2 linked regions of the Lonchura striata genome follow. The protein of the gene in region 2 binds, or shares a complex with, the protein of the main gene of each other region. Links are inferred from orthologs where the notes say so. Each region holds a gene or a part of one and is shown on either strand. Other genes may lie near its edges.

The links. Proteins that work in one complex are often made in the same cells at the same time.
Region 1: LAMTOR4 (region 2) and LAMTOR3 share a complex: the UniProt entries of both Homo sapiens proteins name them as parts of the ragulator complex. The link is inferred for Lonchura striata from reciprocal best matches to the Homo sapiens genes LAMTOR4 and LAMTOR3.

The regions. Positions count from the first base shown.
Region 1 is NC_134606.1:49,697,166-49,704,468, forward strand, and holds the start of LAMTOR3 (ragulator complex protein LAMTOR3), read left to right. Parts: upstream 1-4,286; 5' UTR 4,287-4,366; intron 4,367-4,471; 5' UTR 4,472-4,512; coding exon 4,513-4,521; intron 4,522-4,660; coding exon 4,661-4,695; intron 4,696-5,317; coding exon 5,318-5,376; intron 5,377-6,199; coding exon 6,200-6,333; intron 6,334-7,303. UniProt on the Homo sapiens protein: As part of the Ragulator complex it is involved in amino acid sensing and activation of mTORC1, a signaling complex promoting cell growth in response to growth factors, energy levels, and amino acids.
Region 2 is NC_134636.1:1,852,942-1,860,954, reverse strand, and holds the start of LAMTOR4 (ragulator complex protein LAMTOR4), read left to right. Parts: upstream 1-5,007; 5' UTR 5,008-5,082; coding exon 5,083-5,085; intron 5,086-6,310; coding exon 6,311-6,388; intron 6,389-7,386; coding exon 7,387-7,504; intron 7,505-8,013. Other genes in the region: CHD3 (chromodomain-helicase-DNA-binding protein 3), read left to right, coding at 430-593, 2,284-2,413, 3,325-3,425. UniProt on the Homo sapiens protein: As part of the Ragulator complex it is involved in amino acid sensing and activation of mTORC1, a signaling complex promoting cell growth in response to growth factors, energy levels, and amino acids.

The sequences.
Region 1 (7,303 bases), on a different chromosome or scaffold from region 2:
ATCCTGGTACTCCTGTGTCTTCTTAAAAGAAGAAAGTTGTTCCAAAGGCTTTAACAAGTACTTAGACCTTCCTGTTTACAAATGAGTCTGAGCTTGCAAGTGATCTTTTAGTTAACAGGAAAAAGGATATATAACACATTTATCAAATATTGGAACTGTGAAGTCAGAGTGAACAGATGGTCTTAGCAAAGCTGCCTATAATAATTCTATGGGCTGTGTCTGCCCTTCAGCCACTTCTGGTGCAGGTGAGAAGTGGGGAAATGGATGGATGCTGAGCTGTGTCAGCTGGGTTCCATTCCTATCAGTTCTTCTGCAAGCTGGAATGATGTGCTGGCTGTGCCCTATGGCAACACAGATATCCCATAAGGTTAAAAGTGAGACCTAGACCACAACATTTCATTTGACTACCTTGCAATTAGCACTTTCTGAAAAGGAAATAATATGTTTATACTGGTGGAAGTATGCTGCTTAGCATTTAACAGATTAAATACTTGCACACTTTGAAATACGTAGTAATGTGCAAAAGGATGCTGTGATTTCCTGTGGCATAAAGATTAAGCTGCTCTAAATATGGCCTGCAAACACTCTTTTAATATTTCAAGTGGGTGTTTTTCTCCTCATGATTGTTGCTTTTTTCCTCAAGTCTGAAGGTTTGGTTTTTTTTTCCTTCAGAAATGTCAATATCTTCCCTGGATTTATTGAGGGAATCTGCTGGAAAGTACAGAATTAATTTTCTCATGAGCAAAATGCAAATTGAAGAGAGTGGAGTACTTAAATCTTTTCAGATGACCTTTCTTCAGAAGGAAAAGTTCTCATTAAAATAAGATATTGGAAAGAGAAGAGGAAAACAACACTGTTTTTGAACAGCCTGACTAAAAATCCCTCAAAATTTTAGCTACATGCTCCTTACTGTTTTTATTTAGTGATTACCTTTCATTTAATCTAGAGTTAAAGATAGCACAAGCATGGGTTCTTGGTTTTATCCTTTAAAAGGGCAGGCAGAAAAGTCCAGCAAAAAGAGAAAAATCTTGGCATGACTCTGACATAGCCTAATGAAAAAAGGAGGTGATTTGCATCTGCTGAAATATAACATCAATATGTGTTCTATTTATGGAGCATCCTGAGTCACAAGCGAGTTCAGTGTTCACATCTGATGAACATTTCCCTACAAGTTCTCTGTTTGGGTAAAACAAGTCTAAATTGGAATTTTTAACTGTTTTTTAAATGGTCTTTTTTCTTTTAACAAGTTTCCAAGAAATGGTAGAACATTACAGCGCTAAAACTGTAACAGATGAATTTAAATAGACATTAGAGACAACTTTAAATAATGAATATTTTTAATGTAATTTTGTAACAAATGCTGTGAAAGGATTTCAATGGGAGAGCAAGAATATTTTTTAAGGTTGTTTGTTCATAAATTTCATTCACCATTAAGCAGTTGTTATTCTGACTCCTTGTAGCTCTGTCAAATTGAAGAAAAGTGTAATAGTAAAAGCATTTTGTTTTTAGAAAAAGCAGGTAATACTAAATAAATTCCTAAAGCTATAATTTACTTACACAAAATGTAATGCAATAAATGTAGGAAAAAAAAGGCCATTTGTTGTGGTTTGGCCTCAGCCATGGATCAGCACCGTGCAGCCAGCTGCTCTCACCCCCACAGCGCAGTGGGAAAAATTGAACTCAGGTAAAACCTGTGGGTTGAGATGACAGCAGTTTCATCATCGAAACAAAATCAGGTATCAGTGATCAACAGCAATGAAAAGGGACACAACAAGGGAGAGAGGAATTGATGCCCAGTGCAATTGCTCACCACACTCTGACCCATGCCCTGCCTGTCCCTGTTGAGCAGTCAGCAGCTCCTGACCAACCTCCCCAGTTTATACACTGACCATGAGGGGATCCATGGAATGGAATTGCCCTTTGGCACATCCAGGTTTGCTGTCCTGGCTGTACTCCCTCCCAGCTTCTTGTTCACCTGCTCACTGCCAGAGTGTGGGAGACTGAAAAATCCTGGATTTAGAGTAAGCACTGCTCAGCAACAGCCAAAGTATCTGTGTTACCAAAATTATTCTCATACTGAATCCAAGGCACAGCACTGTACCAGCTGCTTGGAAGAAAAGTAACTCCCCTCTCCCAGCTGAAAGCAGGACACCATTATAAACTATACTTCCCATACTGCTCAGTCTGGCAGGAATTAGGTTTGAGTATTGGGCTTCTCCATGTTTTTAGAAATAATGTTAAAATACACTGTTTAGTTACAATGTTATCCTTCATGTAAGATACGCTTCTCCCTCCAGTACTGGTTTATTCCACATATAGAATGACTGTCATTGGGATGGGAGAATAAATTCCCATTAATAGTAATACAGGAGCCATCTCATAGATGCTTTTGCATAGCTTTTATTCAAAATGTGACAGGGAAATAAGTAAAATTGTTCATTGAGCATCATGGCTGCAAATAATTTTTTAAAAGTTGCATTTTTAAACATATTTAGTGTATATTAGGGAATATTTTAATAAATGAGAAGACCAAGGTTGTTCCAGGTAGCATTTTCAAAATATACCAGAAGCTCACACAATGATTTTAAGTATCTTTTAAGTATCTCTCTAATATGACCAAGTCCTTATCAAATTGCTGTGTGTGCATGGCTTGGATTAAGAAGGAGGTATGGATTCTCAGTATTCAAATAAATTTGTTCTTTTGAATTACTTTTTCCTCTTACTTGCAGAAAGTGGCTTATTTCTGTTTTGAGCTTTTTGGAAATGTCACTGGACCTATATGTGCAGAAACATTAGCAATTTCCAAGTTTTTTTTTTTTTTTTTTTTTTTAATTTACACTTTTTAAAAGTTTAATTTTATACTGGCATCTAAGCAAAATCTTCAGGTATCAACAATGCTCTAGTCCCTGTTGGTGTCCCCTCGGCTCAGTATTGGGCCCACTCCTATTCAGTATCTTTAGTGATGATCTGGATAAGGAAATTGAGTCTACCCTCGGTAAGTCCACAGTGACACCAAGTTGGGTGGCATTGTCGATCTGCTGGAGGGCAGGAGGTCTCTGCAGGGGATCTGGACTGGTTGGATCAATGGGCTGAGACCAACAGAATGAGGTTTAACAAGGCTGAGTGCTGCCCTTGGGTCACAGCAACCCCAGGCAGTGCCACAAGCAGGAGAAAGAGTGGCTGGGAAGCTGCCCAGTGGAAAAGGGCCTGGGGGTTCTGGTGACAGCAGCAGAACATGAGCCAGCTGTGCCCAGGGGGCCAAGAAGGCCAAGGGCATCCATCCTGGCCTGTATCAGCAATGGTGTGGCCAGCAGGAGCAGAGATTGTTTCCCTGTACTCGGCACTGGTGAGGCCACAGCTCAAGAGCTGTGTCCAGTTCTGGGCCCCTCACTGCAAGAAGGACATTGAGGAGCTGGAGTGTGCCCAGAGAAGGGCAGCGGAGCTGGAGAAGGGTCTGGAGCACAAGTCCTGTGAGGAGTGGTTGAGGGAGCTGGGGGTGAGTGTTCAGCCTGGAGAAGAGGCAGCTCAGGGGCACCTTACTGCTTACAGCCCCCTGACAGGAGGGTGTAGCTGGGGGGGTCGGCCTCTTCTAGCATGCAACCAGTGACAGGATGAGAGGAAATTATCTCAAGCTGTGCCAGGAGAGATTCAGGTTGGATGTTAGCAAGAAATTCTTCACAGAAAAGGTGACTAGTACTGAAACGGGCTGCCCAGTAAGGTGATGGAATCACTGCTGCTGGAGGTATTAAAGACTGGACGTGGCACTCAGGGCCATGGTCTGGTTAACCTGGTGGTGTTTAGTCATAGTCTGGACTTGATGATCTGGGATGTCTTTTCCAACTTAATTTATTCTGTGATTCCGTGCTTGGCCTGTAGCAGCTTTTTTTTTTTTTTTTTTTTTTTTAAAGAAAAATCATTGTTACATGCTGAGCAGCTTGGGGCATTTTTAGATCTACCATAAGGGTCCTGCATTCCGATAGAAGACTTTAAAAACAGATGTGCAGTTACCATTGTAACTAACTGTTACACTGTAGGCATCTACTAAATTAATCTATTTATTTCTTCACATTAGCTGTTAAATTGGCCTGCAGGCTCATGGTTTGATGGAATTGATCCAAAAGTAAGGGAAATAGGCAACAGTGGAAGAGCGGCAGTAATTTCTCGGCAGAAAAAGACGTTCGCTTTCTGTCGCTGATCTTCTTTAAGCAAAACGCTATGGCTTGTTTTGGCTTTGGTTCGTTTTGCTGCCGGGGCGGGGAGGGCGGGGACGGCCGGGAAGCGGTTCCGGGGCCGGCAGGGCGGTGCCGTGGCTCATGTGACAGCGCTCCGAGGGAAGCGGCGGCGGAGCCGTGCGGGGCGCGGGCAGGTACGGCGGGGCGGGCGGGAGCGGCCGGCCGGGCCCCGGGACGGAGCGCGGCCTCCCTCCCTCCGGCCGCCCGCGGTGACGGGGCCGCCTCGTCTTGTCTCGCAGGCCCCGGAGGCGGCGGCGGCAGCAGCGGGCGGGCCCCAGCCATGGCCGACGTGAGTGCGGCTCCGCGGGGCGGGCGGGCCGGGGCGGGCTGCTGGCGGGGCCGGGCGGTGCTTCGGGCGGGGAGGGAGCTCCGGAGTGCCCGGCCGCTCGGAGCGGCCGTGAGTAACGCGCCGCCGTCTCTGCCCGCAGGACCTGAAGCGGTTCCTGTACAAGAAGCTGCCGAGGTGAGGTGGGGCTGTGCGGGGCGGGCGGCCGGGCCCATCGGGTGCCAGCCCCCTGCCATGGCAGGGACACTTCCCACGACACCCGCTTGCTCAGAGCCCTCTCCGGCCTGGCCATGAACACTTCCAGGGGGGGGTATCCACAGCCTCCCTGGGCAGCCTGTTCCACTATCTCACCGCCACATAGTAAAGAATTTTTTCCTAATAGCTAACCTGAATTTCCTGGTTTTCAATTTGTCCTGTCACTGCAGTTTGTGATTACGAGTTCCTCTCCAGCTTCCCTATAAACCCCGTTCTGATACTGGAAGGTTGCTGTGAGGTCTCCACTCAACCTTTTCTTCTCCAGGCTGAACAGCCCCAACTTCCTCAGCCTGCCTTTGTAGGGGAAGTGCTTCAGCCTTTTCATCAACCTCATGGCTTCCTCTGCACTTGCTCCAGCAGTTCCATGTCCTTCTTATTGCTGGGGCCACCAGACCTGTACTAAACAGAACAAATACTAAATTAATGAAGGCATCAGTTTTTTTCAAAGTTCTCCCCTTCTTTGCACATTTGTTCACACAAAAAACCTTTTGTACTAATTACTGTGTTTTTAAAATTATGCATCTTCTTCCTTTTTTTTTTTCAGTGTTGAAGGACTTCATGCTATTGTGGTCTCAGATAGAGATGGTGTGCCTGTTATCAAAGGTAACTTCAGCTTCTCACTGTGCTCTGCAGCTGAAATCCTGATTGAACAGCAGAGGGTGGAGAAGTACAGAAAAGTCTTCCTGGTTATGCCAAATACCCGAATATCCCAAGTGGTAGAATTTAATTGGACTTTAAGTAAAAGTTCACTAGTTGATTATGTACCTTTTTGAACATATCCTTTTGTCTGTGCCCTCCGTAACTGTAGTCTGTGGGAGTTTTCCTCCATGACAGGGGCTGGAATGCTGTAAGGTCCTTTTAGCTTCAAGTCCCTCACAGGCTGATTGATACTAAGTAGTAGAGAGAGCTTGGCAGTATTTTGTTGGTTTCTTTGGTACTCTAGTTTTCATGTTCTGCAGTGCTTGTTTCAGATGGTTTTGGCTTGTGAGTATAATGGTTTAAGGATACAAAGATTCAAGTATTGCAGGTTTATTTTGCTCAATGCTCCAAAGTATTCAAACACCCAGCAGAACTTGCACATCTTCACCTGTCTGCAGTCAAGTGTGTGCCAGTAGTCTGTTCAAAGGTTGGAATGGGTGCAAACAGTGTGGGACATGGAACCAAAGGGGCATCAGCACAGGCTGTGCATCCTAAAGGAAAAGAGTCTTTTTCAGGTATGCAAGGAGGGATGCTGCTATAGCAAGCTATGATCATACAGAGAGCATTAAATTATGTACAGCTCGTGAAAATTGTCTGGTGTTCCTGTGGGAGCACCTCGGGCATCTTGCATGTTTCTCTGGTTTTGGCAGAGCACTGAGCTGGATGAGAGTTTGAGGTGCAGTCAGAGACACCATGTAAAGATAAGGATTTTCTTGTTTTGTTCTAGTTGCCAATGATAATGCTCCAGAACATGCACTGCGACCTGGCTTTTTGTCCACCTTTGCCCTTGCCACAGATCAGGGCAGTAAGTTAGGACTCTCTAAAAACAAAAGTATCATCTGCTATTACAATACCTACCAGGTGAGTAACCTCAGCGTGCCCTGTCCTCAGCAACTTGAGCTGTTCCTGCGTTACATTGAGCAAGAGAAAGAAGGTTGTTTAAGCTCTGGTAGATTTTCACTAGGCTGCTATTGAAGTAATTTTGGTTTATTTCTTACACAGCTTAAATGGTTAAGCCAAACTTTCACAGTATTTTTAAAACTTCTGTTATATTTCTCAAAACTTGAGATTTACTTCTTGATAGTGGGAAAGTGTAGTGGTTCTGAATTTGCAGGAGGTATTGTTCGTATGGTCTTCTGAATCTTTTATGAAGGGTTTATGTACTCTTTTAGAAACAATGTTTATAATTAGTGACACCTAACATTAATTAAAGTACATGCAGCCTACTTCATAGTTAATCTTGCTGCCAATATGGCTTTGAGATAAGAATGGTTTGAAATACCACTCACATTTTTCAGAAATAAATTATTTGTGTCCAGAAGTCTATAATCTACTACATTTCTGTTCCTTCATGAGTTCTGGTGGCCCTGAGAGCTTTTAATTATGACTGCAGTAAACTGAACAGCTGTTTAGCCTATAGTGTATCAAGCTTTGCTTGGAAATAAGTGGGTGAGTAAGACAGTTTGCCCACATCAGTACATTTCTTTGACTCTCTTGATGCTACTAGCTTACTGTTGTGCCCATGGCACCATTTCCCTGTTAATGGAAGAACAGATATTCCTGTACAGGGAACAGTATTTTAAAACAATAAACCTGTCTGCCATCCTGTTTCCTGTGGAGGGTGTGTCTCCACAATGGAATCTGCAGGGTCTGCAGCTAAGGTAGGGTTCTGGTGGACAGCAGTCTGTAGAACATGGAGACAGAGGGAATGGCCAGATTTTCCATGTGCAGCTCCCTGTACTGTAGTGTAAGGTCTGTTTGTGTTTCTAACCATGAATCTTAAGAAACGGGTACACTAAAAAGTCACCTCTGTGGCTCTTGCTCCTGTTTG
Region 2 (8,013 bases):
GTAACCCCACCAAGTACCCCTGAGTAACCCCTGAGTACCCCCCGAGTACCCCGAGTAACCCCTCAGTAAACCCCTCAGTACCCCGTGAGTACCCCCAAGTACCCCCCGAGTACCCTGTGAGTACCTCGTGAGCACCCCCCGAGTAACCCCGAGTAACCCCTCAGTACCCCGTGAGTACCCCCCGAGTACCCTGTGAGTACCCTGTGAGTACCCCGTGAGTACCTCATGAGTGAGTACCCCCCGAGTACCTCGTGAGTACCCTGTGAGTGAGTACCCCGTGAGTACCTCATGAGTGAGTACCCCCCGAGTACCTCGTGAGTACCCTGTGAGTGACTACCCCGTGAGTGAGTACCCCCCGAGTACCCCCCGAGTAGGCGGTGAGTAGGCGGTGAGTAGGCGGTGAGTAAGGGTGTCTCTCTTGGCGGGCAGTGCTGAACCAGCTGGAGGAGCTGCTGAGCGACATGAAGGCGGACGTGACGCGCCTGCCGGCCACGCTGTCGCGCATCCCGCCCATCGCCGCGCGCCTGCAGATGTCGGAGCGCAGCATCCTCAGCCGCCTGGCCAGCAAGGGCGCCGAGAGCCACCCCCCGCCCGTGAGTGACACCCTGTCACACTGTCACATTGTCACCGTGTCACCCTGACACCCTGTCACACTGTCACACTGTCACCCTGTCACACTGTCACACTGCCACCTCGGCATCCTCAGCCGCCTGGCCAGCAAGGGCGCCGAGAGCCACCCCCCGCCTGTGAGTGACACCCTGTCACACTGTCACACTGTCACCCTGTCACACTGTCACTGTGTCACACTGTCACCCTGTCACACTGTCACACTGTCACACTGTCACCCTGTCACACTGTCACTGTGTCACACTGTCACCCTGTCACACTGTCACACTGTCACACTGCCACCTCGGCATCCTCAGCCGCCTGGCCAGCAAGGGCGCCGAGAGCCACCCCCTGCCCGTGAGTGACACTGTCACCCTGTCACATTGTCACCGTGTCACCCTGACACACTGTCACCCTGTCACACTGTCACCCTGTCACACTGTCACACTGCCACCTCGGCATCCTCAGCCGCCTGGCCAGCAAGGGCGCCGAGAGCCACCCCCCGCCCGTGAGTGACACCCTGTCACACTGTCACATTGTCACCCTGTCACACTGTCACCCTGTCACACTGTCACTGTGTCACACTGTCACCCTGACACCCTGTCACACTGTCACACTGTCACACTGCCACCTCGGCATCCTCAGCCGCCTGGCCAGCAAGGGCGCCGAGAGCCACCCCCCGCCCGTGAGTGACACCCTGTGACACTGTCACCCTGTCACATTGTCACCCTGTCACATTGTCACCCTGTCACACTGTCACACTGTCACCCTGACACACTGTCACCCTGACACCCTGTCACACTGTCACACTGTCACCCTGTCACATTGTCCCCGTGTCACCCTGTCACACTGTCACCCTGACACCCTGTCACCCTGTCACCCTGTCACCCCACCGTGGGGACATTGGTATTGTCCCCCTGTCACCCAGCCCCAGGGACATTGTCCACGCCTTGGGGACAGCCCTGACCCTGGGGACAGCCTGTCCTGAGGACACCCCTGGCTGTGGGGGTGGCAGCAGGAGGTGACCCCAGGAGGTGACAGTGACGGGGTGACACCAGGAGGTGACAGGTGACCCCAGGAGGTGACAGTGACGGGGTGACCCTGGGAGGTGACAGTGGGGTGGTGGCTCTAGGAGGTGACGGGGAGGGTGACTCCATGGGGTGACCCCGGGAGGTGACAGCATGGGGGTGGCACCAGGAGGTAACACTGGGAGGTGACCCCAGGTGACCCTGGAGGTGACAGTGGGAGGTGACACCATGGGGTGACCCTGGGCAGTGACCCCAGAACTTACCCCTGTCACTGTCCCCTGTCCCTGTGTCCCTGTCACTGTCCCCTGTCCCTGTCCCCTGTCCCTCTGTCCCTGTCCCTCTGTCCCTGTCCCTCTGTCCCCGTCCCTGTGTCCCTGTCCCCTGTCCCTGTCCCCTGTCCTGTCCCTGTCCCTGTCCCTGTCCCTGTCCCTGTCCCTGTCCCTGTCCCCTGTCCCTGTCCCCTGTCCCTGTCCCCTGTCCTGTCCCCTGTCCTGTCCCTGTCCCTGTCCCTGTCCCTGTCCCTGTCCCCTGTCCCTGTCCCCTGTCACTGTCCCCTGTCCCTGTCCCTGTCCCCTGTCCCTGTCCCTGTCCCCCGTCCCTGTCCCCTGTCCTGTCCCCTGTCCTGTCCCTGTCCCCGTGCTGTCCCCAGACCTTCCCGCCGGGGCCCTACGCGACCCCCCCGAGCTACGGGGGCACCTTTGGGACCCCCCCAGCCGGAGCCCTGCCCCACCCCGGGGGGGCCAACTACAGCCAGATGCCACCGGGCTCCTTCATCTCCGGTGAGACACCGGGACACCGGGACACCGGGGACACCGGGGACACCGGGGGGGACTGGGGACAACGGGGGGACACGGGACACCGGGGGGGACTGGGGACATTGGGGACACTGGGGACACTGAGGGGGACTGGGGACAACGGGGGGACACCGGGGACACCGGGGGGGACTGGGGGGACTGGGGACACTGGGGTGGATACTGGGGGGACACCGGGGGGGACTGGGGACACTGGGGGGGACTGGGGGGACTGGGGACACTGGGTGATCCCCAAAAATGGGACACTGGGGACACTGGGGGGGACAAAATGGGACACGGGGGGGGGGTCCCTGGGGTCTCTGAGGGTGTCATTGGGTGGAGAAGGGGGTTCCCTTGGGGTCCCATGGGTGGGGGTCTCTGGGGCGGTTCCCATGGGTGGGGGTCCCATGGGTGGGGGTCCCATGGGTGGGTGTGGGGGTCTCGGGGGAGGTTCCCATGGGTGGGGGTCCCATGGGTGGGTGTGGGGGTCTCGGGGGCGGTTCCCATGGGTGGGGGTCCCATGGGTGGGGTTCCCATGGGTGGGGGTCCCATGGGTGGGTGTGGGGGTCTCGGGGGAGGTTCCCATGGGTGGGGGTCCCATGGGTGGGTGTGGGGGTCTCGGGGGAGGTTCCCATGGGTGGGGGTCCCATGGGTGGGGGTCCCATGGGTGGGGGTCCCATGGGTGAGGGTCCCTGACCCCCGTGTGTCCCCCCAGCCTCGAACGGCCCCGCGGTGCTGGTGAAGCGGGGTGGGTGTGGGGTTCCCATGGGTGGGTGTGGGGGTCTCGGGGGCGGTTCCCATGGGTGGGGGTCCCATGGGTGGGTGTGGGGGTCTCGGGGGCGGTTCCCATGGGTGGGGGTCCCATGGGTGGGGGTCCCTGACCCCCGTGTCCCCCCCAGCCTCGAACGGCCCCGCGGTGCTGGTGAAGCGCGAGGCGGAGGCGCTGGAGCGGAAGGAGCCGCCGCCGCGGGGGGGGGAGGTGATCTGCATCGACGACTGAGGGGGGGGAGGGGCCGGGGGTCCCCCCTGCCCCTCCCCCCCCCAAACCCCCACCCCGGGGCGGCCCCGAGCCCGGCGGGGGGAGGGGCGGGGGGTGGGGGAGGGGGGGAGGGGCTATAAATACGGAATTTGGAATTCTATAGGAGCGGGGTCGGGGGGAGGGGCGCTCCCCGGCCCTCCCCCCCCGCCCGGGCTCCGTTTCACCGCAGAGAATAAACCCGAGTCTGTCCCGGGATTGTCCCAGACTGGGGAATAAACCCGGGATTGTCCCAAAGGAGTGGGGAATAAACCCGGGATTGTCCCAGACTGGGGAATAAACCCGGGATTGTCCCAGACTGGGGAATAAACCCGGGATTGTCCCAAAGGACTGGGGAATAAACCCGGGATTGTCCCGGAGCTGGGGAATAAACCCGGGATTGTCCCAGACTGGGGAATAAACCCGGGATTGTCCCGGAGCCGAGGGGAATAAACCCGGGATTGTCCCAAAGGAGTGGGGAATAAACCCGGGATTGTCCCGGACTGGGGAATAAACCCGGGATTGTCCCAGACTGGGGAATAAACCCGGGATTGTCCCAAAGGAGTGGGGAATAAACCCGGGATTATCCCGGAGCAGTGGGGAATAAACCCGGGATTGTCCCGGAGCTGGGGAATAAACCCGGGATTGTCCCAGAGGAGTGGGGAATAAACCCGGGATTGTCCCAAAGGAGTGGGGAATAAACCCGGGATTGTCCCAAAGGAGTGGGGAATAAACCCGGGATTGTCCCAGACTGGGGAATAAACCCGGGATTGTCCCAAAGGAGTGGGGAATAAACCCGGGATTGTCCCAGAGGAGTGGGGAATAAACCCGGGATTGTCCCAGAGGAGTGGGGAATAAACCCGGGATTGTCCCGGAGCCGAGGGGAATAAACCCGGGATTGTCCCAAAGGACTGGGGAATAAACCCGGGATTGTCCCAGAGGAGTGGGGAATAAACCCGGGATTGTCCCGGAGCCGAGGGGAATAAACCCGGGATTGTCCCGGAGGAGTGGGGAATAAACCCGGGATTGTCCCGGAGCAGTGGGGAATAAACCCGGGATTGTCCCGGACTGGGGAATAAACCCGGGATTGTCCCAGACTGGGGAATAAACCCGGGATTGTCCCAAAGGACTGGGGAATAAACCCGGGATTGTCCCGGAGGAGTGGGGAATAAACCCGGGATTGTCCCGGAGCAGTGGGGAATAAACCCGGGATTGTCCCAAAGGTTACCATGGAGAGGTTTGTGGAGGGGAATTCCCCTTTTTTTGAAGCTTTTTTGGGCCGTTTTGCCCCAATTTCCCCATTTCTTGGGGGGCGCGGGGGCGGGGCTGGAGGAGCGAGGGACGATGGAGCGCGCGCTGGGGGACTGACGTCACTTCCGGCGCGGGAGGACCCACCGAGATGCGCGGGGCGAGCGCAACTTCCGGTTCCGTGGGGGAAACTACAGAGCCGCGCGCTGGGTAACTGACGTCACTTCCGGTGCGCCGGACCAGCGAGTTCACCACGCCTCTCTGCCCACGTGATCCTGCAGCCGGCTCCGATTGGTGGATGGGTCGGCGACGAGAGAAGCGCTAAACCAATGAGGGATCGGGGCGGGTACTGAGGGCGGGTCACGTGATCGGAAGGGAAAGCGGGAGCGTCGCCATGGTGAGAACTGGGATGGGGAACTGGGAGAGACTGGGAGAGACTGGGATGGACTGGGATGGACTGGGATGGACTGGGAGGGACTGGGGGGGACTGGGAACAGACTGGGATGGATTGGGATGGACTGGGATGGGACTGGGAGGGACTGGGGGGGACTGGGGGGGACTGGGAACAGACTGGGATATACTGGGAGGGACTGGGATGGAACTGGGAGGGACTGGGGGGGACTGGGAGGGAACTGGGAGGGACTGGGATAAACTGGGAGGGACTGGGATGGACTGGGGGGGAACTGGGGGGGAACTGGGAGGGAACTGGGAGGGACTGGGATAAACTGGGAGGGACTGGGATGGACTGGGGGGGAACTGGGATGACAGCAGCCTGTACTGGTTTATACTGGGCTGCACTGATCCGTACTGGTCCATACTGGTTAACGCTGTCCGTACCGGTTTATACGGGTCCATACTGGTGTGTACTGGTCCGTACTTACACTAGTTTATACTGGTTTATACCGGTCCGTACTGGTTTACACTAGTTTATACCGGTCCGTACTGGTTTATACCGGTGTATACTGGTCCGTACTGGTTTACACTAGTTTATACCGGTCCATACTGGTTTACACCGGTGTATACTGGTCCGTACTGGTTTATACTGGTCCGTACTGGTTTACACCGGTTTATACCGGTCCGTACTGGTTTACACCGGTGTATACTGGTCCGTACTGGTTTACACCAGTTTATACTGGTCCGTACTGGTTTACACCAGTGTATACTGGTCCGTACTGGTTTACACTAGTTTATACCGGTCCGTACTGGTTTATACCGGTGTATACTGGTCCGTACTGGTTTACACTAGTTTATACTGGTCCGTACTGGTTTATACCGGTGTATACTGGTCCGTACTGGTTTACACCAGTGTATACTGGTCCGTACTGGTTTATACCGGTGTGTACTGGTCCGTACTGGTTTACACTAGTTTATACCGGTCCGTACTGGTTTACACTAGTTTATACCGGTCCGTACTGGTTTATACCGGTGTATACTGGTCCGTACTGGTTTACACTAGTTTATACCGGTCCGTACTGGTTTACACCGGTGTATACTGGTCCGTACTGGTTTACACTAGTTTATACTGGTCCGTACTGGTTTACACCGGTGTATACTGGTCCGTACTGGTTTATACTGGTCCGTACTGGTCCATACTGGTTTACAGCGCTGTCTGCGGCCCGCAGGCGGCGCTGGCGCAGGGCCTGGAGCGGGTTCCGGCCCAGGCCGGGTTCCTCGTGATCAGCGACGGCGCCGTGCTGGCCGTGAGGGGCTGGAACGGGGGGTCCCGAAATTGGGGAGGGGTCCCAAAATTGGGGGGAGGGGAACCTAAAATTGGGGTCCCGAAATTGGGGAGGGGGACCTAAAAAATGGGGGGAGGGGGACCTAAAATTGGGGTCCCAAAAATTGGGGAGGGGTCCCTAAAAATGGGGGGAGAGGGGCCTAAAAATGAGGGAGGGGTCCCAAAATTGAGGGGGGGTCGTCCCTAAAAATGGCGGAAGGAGTCCCAAAATTGGGGGGTGTCCCTAAAAATGGGGGGAGGGGTCCCTAAAATGGGTCTCAAAATTGGGGAAAGGGATCCCTAAAAAATGGGGGGAGGGGTCCCAAAATTGGGGTCCCAAAAATGGGGGGAGGTACGGAACTGGGAGGTCCCAAAAACTGGGGAGGGGGTCCCTAAAAGTTGGGGGAGGGGGGAGGCAAAATCTGGGGGGGGGGTCCTCGAATTTGAGGGTGCCAAAATCTGGGGGAGGGGGGGGAAGTTCGGGGGGGGGGGGGGTGTGAAGCTTTTTTGGGGGTTCCTCAATTTGGGGAGGGGTCCCTTCAAACCGGGGGTTCCCAGGTGGGTTTTGGGTTATTTTTTGGGGATTTTTGTTTCCCTCTGGGAGGCTTCAATTTTTTGGGGGGGGGATCTTGGAGTGAGAATTCCCAAGAAGTTTTGGGGGGATTCCCAAGAATTTGGGAAATTTTTGGGGGGGTGGTTCTCAGGTCATTTTTGGGGTGGTTTTTTGGGGCATTTTTGGGGAGTTTTCTCCTCCTGGGTCCCCCAGTTTTTTTGGGATCTTTGAGCGAGAACTCCCAAAAGAAATTTTGGGGGGGATCCCCAGGAATTTTGTGGGGGTCCTCAAGTCATTTTTTGGGGTGATTTTGCTGCATTTCGGTGCCGCTTTTTGGGGGTTTTTTTGGGGGGGATTTTTTTTGTTCCCCCTGAGAACTCCCAAAAAGCTTTCGGGGTTCCCCAAATGCGGAATTCTTCCTTCGGCAGTCCTCGGGGGACCTGGAGAACGACGAGCACACGGCCACCGTCCTGCAGGGCCTGGTGGCCACGGCGCTGGGGCTGCGGCTGCCCCGCGGCCACGAGCCGCCCTTCCGCCGCCTCTCGGGTGAGCTGGCACGAAAAGAGGCACGGAACCGCCCCGAAATACCCAAAACGGGCACGGAACGGCCCCGAAATATCCAAAACGGGCACGGAACGGCCCCGAAATATCCAAAACGGGGACAAAATATCCAAAACGGGGACAAAATATCCAAAACGGGCACAAAATGGCCCCGAAATATCCAAAACGGGCACGAAACCGACCCGAAATACCCAAAACGGGCACGAAACGGCCCCAAAATACTCAAAACGGGCACGGAAGGGCCCCAGAATATCCAAAACGGGGACAAAATATCCAAAACGGGCACGCAACGGCCCCAAAATATCCAAAACGGGCACGGAACGGCCCCAAAATACCCAAAACGGGCACAAAATATCCAAAACGGGCACGAAACCGCCCCAAAATATCCAAAACGGCCCCAAAATATCCAAAACGGGCACAAAATATCCAAAACGGGGACAAAATATCCAAAACGGGGACAAAATATCCAAGACGGGCACAAAACGGCCCCGAAA